Linked DNA regions of Arabidopsis thaliana. The protein of the gene in region 1 interacts with the protein of each later gene in a pairwise test. Each region holds a gene or a part of one and is shown on either strand. Other genes may lie near its edges.

Region 1 (5,272 bases):
AACTTTAGTATGAATTGTACTAATTCAATCTCTAAGTATAAAAAGGTATATGCTGGTTTGTACTTCTCAAATGAGAATAATCAAAACTAAGCATATATACCAAAAATGGGTTATCGGAATGAATCCATGACAATGACATAGATTAAAGAGGAAATGGTGTTAACAATATTTTTAAAACCAACCCAGTGAATCGGACTACCTTTTGGATCATTGGATCATCGGGTTAATTAGATTAGACTACGGGTCAATTGATTAAAATTTATTTAATAAATTTAATATTAATAGAGATTTTAGAGTTTTTAGAGTTCTTATAAATTTTAAAACAAAAATAATCATTTACATCAAAAAAAAATATAAATATATAATCAAACAATAATAATAAAGTGATGAAATTTTTTAAATCCAACTAAATGTCTAATACCGTAACAAATATAGTAAAAAATCAGCAATGATGGAAATAAACTAATAAAACATCGTGAATTCACACAACTAATATCGGATATCTCACTCACCATTCGATTCATTTTTTAAGGCGGCATTGTGAAGTCTTCATCAAAATCTTAAACATCAAATGGGTTTAAGAACTGAAAAATATCTAAAAATTGATTGAATAAAGTCTAAAATCTCATATTTTATTCCAAAATCAAGAGAATTTTTTAAAACCCACATCCGGCCAGTTCAACTGGTTCATCGGGTCACGGGTTAATGATGAGTTTTTGTGGGTTTTTTCGGTTTTGAACTTGTTGGATTTTAATACTAAACCCAAACCGGAAAAGTGTTCGGGTCACGGTTCAACCGGTCGGACCGGACGGTCCGGGTCGGACGTGAAAACACTGGGTGTTAACAACAATGCTACTAATATACTAATGATGGCTAATCATTTGATATAGAATAAAAAAATAAAATAAAATTAAGAGGATCTAAGAAAGAAAAAAAGTACACCTACTACATCTAGTTTGGTTGCAAATAAAATTAAGAAGAGTACTTTAAAAGATAAGAAACCAAATGAATATTTATAGTAACTAATCATGTTTCACTCGTTTATTAATCTTTTTGTTTCTTCATCCGAAACAAGATTACCACATCAAAAGTGTACCATTTATTGGAGTACTTAGTCACATTTCAGGGTTCATTAATAGAAATGTTTACAACAAATGATATAATTCGAACATTGTTATGGTATTATTCCTCATCGAGCGAGACACCGACGTGGTAAAGAACATTAAATCAAAACTAATAATAATGCAAAAACAAACAAAGCTAAAGATCTTAATTAATATTTAATAGAAAGTTATTAACGATGATAATACGAATAAGCTTACTCTAAGCTTCTTATTAACCTGACACTCTCATCTTTAACTTCACGACGACGATGATCCGTTAACGTTACCACCGTTAGCTCCGCCGCTATCACTATCAAATCCTCCGCCACCACCGCCGCTACTAACACTCTGGTGAAGCTCTCCTCCTCCTCCGACACCGTGGTGTCCATTGTTATGGTTATTAATCTCGCCGGCGAGAATCGGAGTGTGGTTTCCTCCGCCGTTATCGATTTGCCGGATCTCGTTTCCGGCGATATCACGGCGGTTAAAGGTGTTTTTGTTGTTATGCATCCAAACTTTGAGAACACTTTTATCAACTCCGATCTGCCGGCAAAAATCACGAACATCGTCTTCGTCACGTTTTTGCATCTTCCAACCAACACGTTCGGCGAATTCATGCATCTTCTCTTTCTGAAACTGGCTGAATTTTGTTCGGAATCTTTTACGAGATCCGTGAAGAGTATGTTGGTGGTGGTGGTGGTGGTTGTTTCCGGCGGAGAAGTTAAGATCGGAGAAAGAAGCTAAGTTGTTGTTGTTGTTATTAGTACCGGAGAGAGATAAGAGCATGTAAGAGGAAGAGATTGGTGGAGGAGAAGCTGAGTTAGGACTACGTGGTGGTGGAGGAGGTGGTGGTGGTGGTGGATGATGACGGTGGTGAGGTTGATACTCTACGGCGGTGGAAGGAGGAGGAGGGATTTGGGAAGAGTCGTTGTTGTTATCTGGATCACGGCGGTGGAAATTACGGTGGCAGCCACAAGCAGCACATTTGAGAGAAGTTGGATCGGAGGAGATTGACGACGGAGACGGCATGAATTCGCCGCAACCGTCGAGAGCGTGACCACCTAAAGCCGCCGCGTGGTTTTTGAGACATTCTTTGTAAGTAAAGAGGAGAGGATGGTGGTGGTGGTGGTGGCGTTTGATGATGCCGTTGCTAAAGGAAATGGGTTTCGCCGGTTGGATCCGGGTCGGAGTTTCGGATTCGGGTTCGGGTGATTTAGGAGTTGGTGTTGTTGTTGTTGTTATTGTAGGAGTCATATCCATCATAGCTTAAAACATTAATATAACCAATAATTTGAAGAAAAAAAAGACTTAGGGTTTTTGGGTTAAGAGCTTTGAAAATATGGTATGAGTTTCAGAGAATGTGAATAGAAAAATGAAGAAGAAGAAGAAATAAAGATAAGTAAAAAGGTTCTAACTTCTTAAGCTGTTGGAGATTTTTTAATATTACATATTTTCCACTTGATTTTTTATTGGTAATATTCGTTTAGAGGAGGAAAAGAAGAAAATGATATGATGACTATGACGACTGTTGCTGAAGCAAATAAAGAAATAATATTTTGAAAAAGGACAATTGTATTAAACTAAATTTATGATTTTAAATGAAATAATAAAGAGACTTGGATTTAGGGATATTTTAATCAAGGGAACCAAGGTTTGATGATTTTTAACCATGGTTAGGTAGATGGAGTTTGTGGGATCGACAAAGAGAGTGCGTGTTAAATTTTGCGGTGAAAAAGCGTAATAAATGTGGCTACTAGTGTCTTAAACATAAAGGCACAAGTCAAAACTGAAAAAGAAAAAATAAGTCTTATGGTAATAATGGGTTACATTTGTTCTAAGATCAGCAATGTTGTGAAAGATACTCCTTCGACTACAACAAAAACGTTAAGGTCAAACCTTTCAAATGAAGGAATGAGAAAGATCACTTTCTTGTAAAAGTTGGGGGTGAATTTTTAGGTTTCCACTATGGTTAAGTTTATATGGGTGATATTCGACGGAAAATGTCAATTTTGCTAGATTTTGATGAACAAGTTGAGAGCAATGATCGAAATTCCGTCCTTCATATACTAGAGATTATTAGAGGATCCAAAACTAGAGATTATTAGAGGATCCAAAACTATTATGAGAAATCCATTAGCCAATGTAACTAGGGTGATAGCTACTAGAGATTCATATAAATTTGTTTTTAAATATCAATGTATTGTAAGGTAATCTTAAGAGTTGTCTCAAAACAAATTTTTTTCTTTTTCTTTATAAAAGGAATTTTGTGCAAAAATAACTTTCAAAGACGTCAATTTTTACAAATTTATCATCTATCTCTAAAAAAATGCAAAATAATTGTATGAAATCAAAAATAATATGCAATATAGCTTCATTTTTTTGTTATAGTTAAATTTTTAAAATTTTGATAAATAATATATCAAATTAAAATCTTCGAGACGAGGAGTCCAACTCTACTTTCACAATTTTAAAAAGCAAATGTATGTGATCATAGAAACATTTACAATATATGTATAGGGCTATATTGCGTCTTATTTTGTATTTTATAGGATTATTATGTATTTTGTAGAGATTAATGGTAAAGTTGAAAAAATTAGCGACTTAATTATGATTTTTTTTTGCACAAACCCCTTATAAAAATATCAATTTTGAATCATTGTATTCTTGTTGACAAGTTAAAGTCTTTTTTCTTTTCTATTAATTGCATCATAATAAAGTTTTTATAAGCGATTTCATTTCAATCTTTCTATTATTTCTACCTAGCTTAATAAGTCCATTTGAGCTTGAATCCTACTAGCTTTGAATTCTCCCACAGAGATGTTCCTTGGCACAACTATCACGGCCCGTTCGTAAAGAATCATCCACGGACAATGTTTTGCTTAAATAATTGCGGCTCCAAAGAATTCTTTTGGGGAGAGTGCTATTCTGTTCTTAATTAATGCAATCCCAAAACATAATGGGTAGAAGGACTTCATGGTCATGTAAAGGAGATTACATGCAAACGATGAAGATATCTTCGACTTTCTTTTTGGTTAGACTTTAGAGGTAGAGAAGCTAATCTTATAGCAGATTTAGTGGTAATGATTGATGACTTAATGGGCTAATGGAATAATACAATTGGCATTAATTTTTATGGGCCGGGTTATTGCACACATGCAACTATAGTGATTTCAGAACAGCCCATCCGAGGACTTGAGTATAAAATAGACAAATTCAAGAAGGAAGTTTGAAGACCCCAAATTACCCCTTTCTAACGTCTCAAAATGATTGGGTTCGAAGCATAAATCATAGTTACACTTGTTTGTAATCATAGGCATATGTAATCACTAATCATCACTTTATTTGATTTAGCAAGTAACTAAGTATAAACTTATTGGTATAAATTATTTTAATGTTAGACAAATGTATTTCCAAATTAGTTTAAAACTATGTTTATTCTATATTTTTAATTCCTTCATTTTTATTTTACAGTGAGAAAGAGAGAGAGGTAAGAAGTAGCTCTATGTGGGCTGCATAAGCATTCTGTGTGTGTTAGTTGTATAAGTAGAACTAAGCACATGTGTTCCGTAGTGAAACACCAGTTATATGTTATAATAAGCTGAATTATCTCCAACTTGTTTATGGTTAGTTGGATAGTATTTAGCAGCACATGCACTTTCTCTTTCCATAGAGGTTTCCAATGTCACTATTGTATCATGATTGATGCAGGAGGTATACACCAAATTGCTTCACTCTATAGTAGCAACATCAAGTAGGTAGCTTATTAGGGTCTTTTAACAAGTACATGAACATAAATGTGAAATGTTGACAGATAAGGACAACGTTGAAGAAGTCAGGAACACTGTGTACCGGTAACTAGTCTTGATCATGCGGTTTACAATGCAGGCTAAGTTCTGATTCCTCCACAGTGCGCTTTGTCTTTGTCTTTTCTCATCATAGGTATGTAACATTCTCTTTTTTCAACACTATTTCAGTGATTCTCTCTTCTCTGTGCGATCATCACATGTTCTTTAAACGGAACAACATAAGCATTACTATTTCAGTAAACATGAAAACAAGTGCTGTTTTTTGGACACTAATAATGTTTGCAAGCTTCACAATTAAATTATATTCAGACTGCTATTTATTGTTTGTCTTGTGATGACTCCTTCACTCTCCTCTTGGCCTTT
Region 2 (5,654 bases), on another chromosome or scaffold:
TAAGTTCAAGAAAGGAGAGCTCAAAGGTCAAGTGGTTGCTGTCAAAATCATCCCAAAATCGAAGGTAACAAAACTTGAGTTTAGTTTCTTGATCTTGATGATTGCATACTCTCCATTGTAGTGTTAGCTGATAGAATTGAATGTGTTTTGATTCTTTTTTGGCAGATGACAACTGCAATTGCTATAGAAGATGTGAGAAGGGAAGTGAAAATTCTACAGGCTTTATCTGGACATAAGAATCTGGTACAATTCTATGATGCATTTGAGGACAATGCAAACGTCTACATTGCAATGGAGTAAGATCATTATTTTATCATAACCTTAACCATTTCCTTGTTTGATGTTGAATTTAGTTAGGTTTTAGTTATGAATTTGGTAAAAAGAACCTATTGTTTCATAATTGGATTTAAGTAGTTTGAATTTGCAGGCTATGTGAAGGTGGTGAGCTTCTTGACAGAATACTAGCAAGGTGTGTGTCTGTGTGCTACTAAAGAGTTATCGATACTTATGGCCAGAGATTGTTCTTATTTTATAAAAAGATTCATCGTTTTTTTCTACAGGGGAGGGAAATACTCAGAGAATGACGCAAAACCAGTGATTATACAAATTCTGAATGTGGTAGCTTTCTGTCATTTCCAAGGAGTTGTTCATCGAGACCTTAAACCAGAGGTGAGGCACAATTTTGAACTGGAAAGAAGATTATGTTTTACTTTTATGTGTAGAATGTTTTCTGATCGCTGCTTCATCATCAGAACTTCTTGTACACTTCCAAGGAGGAGAATTCTCAGCTTAAAGCGATAGACTTTGGCTTATCAGACTTTGTCAGACCAGGTTCATCATCACACATTTTACTATGTCACTATTTCTCCAGTTCTTTTTCTTCTGGTTAGTAAACTAAAAATGGTATTTTGTGCCCCTTTTTTTGAAAGATGAGAGACTAAACGATATAGTGGGAAGTGCATACTATGTAGCTCCCGAAGTTCTACACAGATCATATACAACAGAAGCGGATGTGTGGAGCATCGGAGTCATAGCATACATTCTACTATGTGGTAGCCGTCCGTTTTGGGCAAGAACTGAATCCGGAATTTTTAGAGCTGTTCTTAAAGCTGACCCGAGTTTCGATGAACCTCCTTGGCCCTTCTTGTCTTCTGACGCTAAAGACTTTGTTAAGCGGTTATTGTTTAAGGATCCCCGGCGAAGAATGTCAGCCTCCCAAGCCTTGAGTCAGTCATTTTTAATTTCACAGCTCTTTATAGTTTTATGTCTCCTGTCTTTTGGTAGTCATAAATCACCAAATTCAGTTCCTATTTACTTTTTTCAGTGCATCCTTGGATCCGAGCTTATAATACGGACATGAATATCCCTTTCGATATCTTGATCTTTAGGCAGATGAAGGCGTACTTGCGATCTTCTTCATTACGCAAAGCTGCTTTGAGGGTATGTTTTAGGCATTCTTTTAAAGTGTCGAAAAGAGCATTGAAGATTACTTTCTCACTATTATGTGCTTTCTTTTCACAGGCGCTATCGAAGACGTTAATCAAGGATGAAATTCTTTACCTGAAAACTCAATTTTCTCTTCTCGCACCAAACAAAGATGGCCTAATCACAATGGATACCATTAGAATGGTTTGTGACACTATAACTTCTTTTATATTCCTTCCTCTTGAGAAAAAAAGAGAAACACCGTAGTAATCTAATCTGTATTGCATTTTTTGTTTCTGTTTAAACAGGCACTTGCAAGCAATGCAACAGAAGCAATGAAAGAATCTCGGATCCCAGAGTTTCTTGCTTTGGTAAATGACTGTGTTCTCTCGGATTTTGATAAATGCTTTAACAATTTGGTGTTAATGATCCTTCATTGACTGGCTTTTTACAGCTAAATGGACTTCAATACAGAGGAATGGATTTTGAAGAGTTTTGTGCAGCTGCTATAAACGTTCATCAGCACGAGTCGCTTGATTGTTGGGAACAGAGCATTCGACATGCTTATGAGCTTTTCGACAAGAATGGAAACCGAGCTATTGTCATCGAAGAACTTGCCTCTGTAAGTTAAAGCATCTGTCTTCAGCTTAAATACAAAAATATCGAAAAACAGATCCTCTAAAACGACATGCTTTTGAATTGCAGGAACTTGGTGTTGGACCATCTATACCGGTACATTCAGTTCTACATGATTGGATCAGACACACTGATGGAAAGCTTAGCTTCTTCGGGTTTGTTAAACTGTTACATGGAGTCTCTGTTCGAGCCTCGGGGAAAACTACCCGGTGAAGATAACGAAAACAAACATGACCTAAGCGAAATCGTAAAAGAAGATGTCAAAACCTTTACTCTAAATCTTGGATTGGTATTGGAAATGTAATAGTTGGTCAAAGACTGTACAACAAATGAAAAGTTTCTTACAAGAGCAATTCTAAAAAAAAGATTGTTGTAATAATATAGTAACCACAGATACTTTGATACTCTATGTGAAGTCAAGAAAATGAAAAAGAAAATTCCAAAAAGATTTGATTTTTGTCTCTCTTTCTTCCCAATGATTATGGAATCAGCGAAATCTTGGTTATTTCCGGTTTGTTACTGTGCTTTAATTTGTGAGATCTGAGTCGGTGTAACCAGTGAAAACCGGTTCTAGTGATGGAAATAAATTAGAATTTAGAAAACAAACCAAACCGATTTTCTTCTCCCCCAATTTTATATTTTGCTTCTCCTCTCGAGTTTGGGATTCGAGTTTAAGGAATTAGGGTTTCTAATCTCTCTCTCTTTCTCTCGAGATTTTTCTTCACTTAGTTCTTGATTCTGATTAAAAGTTGATCTTATAGTTCCGGTAACTTCGTTTTCTGGGTTTAATTTTCGATTCAATCTTCATCTCCTTGATCCACAGCCATGACTGAGGTAAATCAAAATTCGCATCTTTTCTCTCCAAATCTCTTTGAATTACGAAACCTCTGTCTTGTTTCGTAATTGAAATTGATCTTGAGTTTGTTTTTTGTGTTATTTCAGTATTGGGTAAGTCAAGGGAACAAATGGTGTGAATTCTGTAAGATATGGATACAGAACAATCCAACAAGTATTAGAAACCATGACCTTGGTAAGCGTCACCGAGAATGTGTTGATAAGAAGCTCACTGATATGCGTGAGAGGAGTGCAGCCAAAGACAAAGAGCTCAAGAAAAACGAAAAACTGCTTCAACAGATCGAAGCTGTGAGTAATCATTCTTGTTTCTTTTGCCAGTGATACTTATTCTAACGTATTTATTTCTGATTCCATTGTTTATATCTCAACTTGTTTCAGAAAGCAACTCGTAGCTATCAGAAAGATATTGCAACTGCTCAGCAAGTAGCTAAAGCAAACGGTGCACCAGAGGATGGTACATCCGGTAAGTATCTCTCTCTATGATGTCATTAGTATTTGTTCTTCGACTTATAGCTGCTATATTCAGGGTTGTTGCTTAGCTTTGGATCTGTTTGTTATAGACTTAACATTACTGAGGTCGTAGAGTATGTGTGAATTGGATTTGTGAATTGCTTTCATTGACCAAAAGTATGAACAAACCAAGCAGCGTCTGATTCTTCGATTGTCATATTACACATCTTTGCAAATGACTTATAAGTTTTAATGCCTATAACCCTATAGAGAATCATCACGAAAGAGCGAAACGGTTGCTTCTTTTGAGTCACTCTCAGGTTCTTTCATCATTTTGATTGCCATTTTTCTTAGCCTTTTTCATTTATACATATACCATGTAGTAACCATATTGTTATGGCAGATTGGATGCTCGACAGTGCTTCAGGCTATTATTACAACCAGACCAATGGTCTGCACTATGATTCACAGTCTGGATTCTATTACAGTGACTCAATAGGTATGTAATATATATCGAGTTTTTTTTATTTGTTTCCTTGCAAACATGATTGTATACAATTTCGTCGTGTGTATGCTTACACGGGTAATGAAACAGGACATTGGGTGACACAAGACGAGGCCTACGCTGCGGTTAAAACATCATCAGGAACCAAAGTACCTCTCGTGAAAAAGCCTGTATCTTCTTCAGGAGCTGGACCAAGTGTGGGGAAACCACCTGGCCGTCTTGTCACAGCTTCTTTAAATCCTAAAAGAGCTGTGAAAGGAGCGGCTTCATCTGTTGATCTTGGCAACAACAAGAGAAAGAGGCAAGATGAGAAACCGAAGAAAGTATCTGCAGAAGAGAAAGCTGCATTGAAGGCAAGAGAAGCTGCTAGGAAACGAGTTGAAGATAGAGAAAAACCATTGCTTGGTCTTTACAATAGACCCTTTTGATGCATCATTGGCTTGATCCTATATGCAAAAGGGAGAGGCTAAGCAGAGAAGAGTGATGATTGATCTCATTGTGGCGGTTATTTCAGTTATTCCTACATGACAGTTTATTCCAAAACTCTCTGGTATTTCTGGGAGCATTGGTCTTGTGTTCTTCTAACTGTTGTTCCAGTCATATCAGTTTCCTCTTTGTTGTACACACCTATTCAATTTTATAGTCAGAATGATGGAAGTCCACATTTTACCCATTTTGATGAAGTTACGAGGTCTTTGCACAACTTTTTTTTTGTGTTCGTCTTAAAAAAAGTTTAGAAAATTAAGTTCTTTTTGGTCTATTCTTCTAAAGTTTATTGGTTGACTTTCATGAATCAGTTTCTGAAATTATGCATAAACTTGTTAAGATGGGAATAAATCGAAACCAAACACTACTCTAAAGAAGTAAAACTATCAAAGCACTGCAAAGTGCACACTAATAAATGATCCAAACGATTTAGGAAATTACTTATTGTGGACCAAGCTCTGACTTTGAGGAAGTCTCAGTAACAAAGACAAATTAACTCAAAAAAAAAACTGAAAATAAAAAATTCAAGTATCAGACGACCCCAAAATTTTGACAGAGACTGAGACAGCAAGATAAGCAAGATTCAAATCCAGGATACAAAACCCTCTTTGGACACTAGAGGTTTTAGTTTCGATGGTGCGAGCTAACCTCTGAACCAACAACTATCATCGGATGGATCACTTTGATCACCCAACGGTTTGTTTTTATCCCAATACCCGTAAGTCCAGGACTCACAGGGTTTCTGATGATAGAGACATACCAACACTTTCAAGAAGCTCCCGGGACTGCAGCCGCTGCAGTAGCGTACATGTTTGAGTCCTGATTGGCATATCCATTGTTGTATCCTTGACCTCTTGAATATCCTCCATTCCATTGGTTGCCAGAGTCACTTCTCCACTGTCATTTTTAGATTTAAAAGTTGAACAAGATTAGTAAATGGATTAAAACATTCAATAGAACATCACGGATAAAAACTACCAAGTTGGTTATTCTTGTAGAGATTACTTTAGCTTGTCCACTGATTACAACTACTAATAGAGAATTAAGACAAACATGAAACATTGAAACTTCGACAACCTCTAAAGATAAACGATAACATCAGTACATGCTTCAACTAGCTCATGAATCTTAATAGCTGTAAATTTTCTCAATCCTAAGAAACACAGAACCATTACTATTATTTCAGAGATTGGATAATTCAGGGAGATGATAAGTGGGCCAAGGTGATATGCATTAGATTTGCCAATAGATATAGTCAACGAAAACCGTGGGAAGGTGGTAAATTCCACTAGGTCTT

Evidence for each region. Proteins that work in one complex are often made in the same cells at the same time.
Region 2: the proteins of HB23 (region 1) and AT1G49590 interact in a two-hybrid assay, tested with the Arabidopsis thaliana proteins (one large-scale study listed by BioGRID).

What each region holds. Positions count from the first base shown.
Region 1 is NC_003076.8:15,908,637-15,913,908, reverse strand, and holds HB23 (homeobox protein 23), read right to left. Parts: upstream 2,560-5,272; 5' UTR 2,367-2,559; coding exon 1,362-2,366; 3' UTR 1,049-1,361; downstream 1-1,048. UniProt on the Arabidopsis thaliana protein: Putative transcription factor. Probably involved in establishing polarity during leaf development through the gibberellic acid (GA) signaling pathway.
Region 2 is NC_003070.9:18,352,111-18,357,764, forward strand, and holds AT1G49590 (C2H2 and C2HC zinc fingers superfamily protein), read left to right. Parts: upstream 1-2,672; 5' UTR 2,673-2,886; coding exon 2,887-2,895; intron 2,896-3,003; coding exon 3,004-3,204; intron 3,205-3,294; coding exon 3,295-3,379; coding exon of another isoform or gene 3,380-3,399; exon of another isoform or gene 3,400-3,636; coding exon of another isoform or gene 3,637-3,686; intron 3,687-3,769; coding exon 3,770-3,865; intron 3,866-3,961; coding exon 3,962-4,299; 3' UTR 4,300-4,623; downstream 4,624-5,654. Other genes in the region: AT1G49580 (Calcium-dependent protein kinase (CDPK) family protein), read left to right, coding at 1-64, 166-296, 428-469, 561-669, 753-831, 930-1,226, 1,325-1,440, 1,522-1,629 and 3 more. UniProt on the Arabidopsis thaliana protein: Nucleic acid-binding protein that promotes Pol IV-dependent small interfering RNA (siRNA) accumulation, DNA methylation and transcriptional silencing.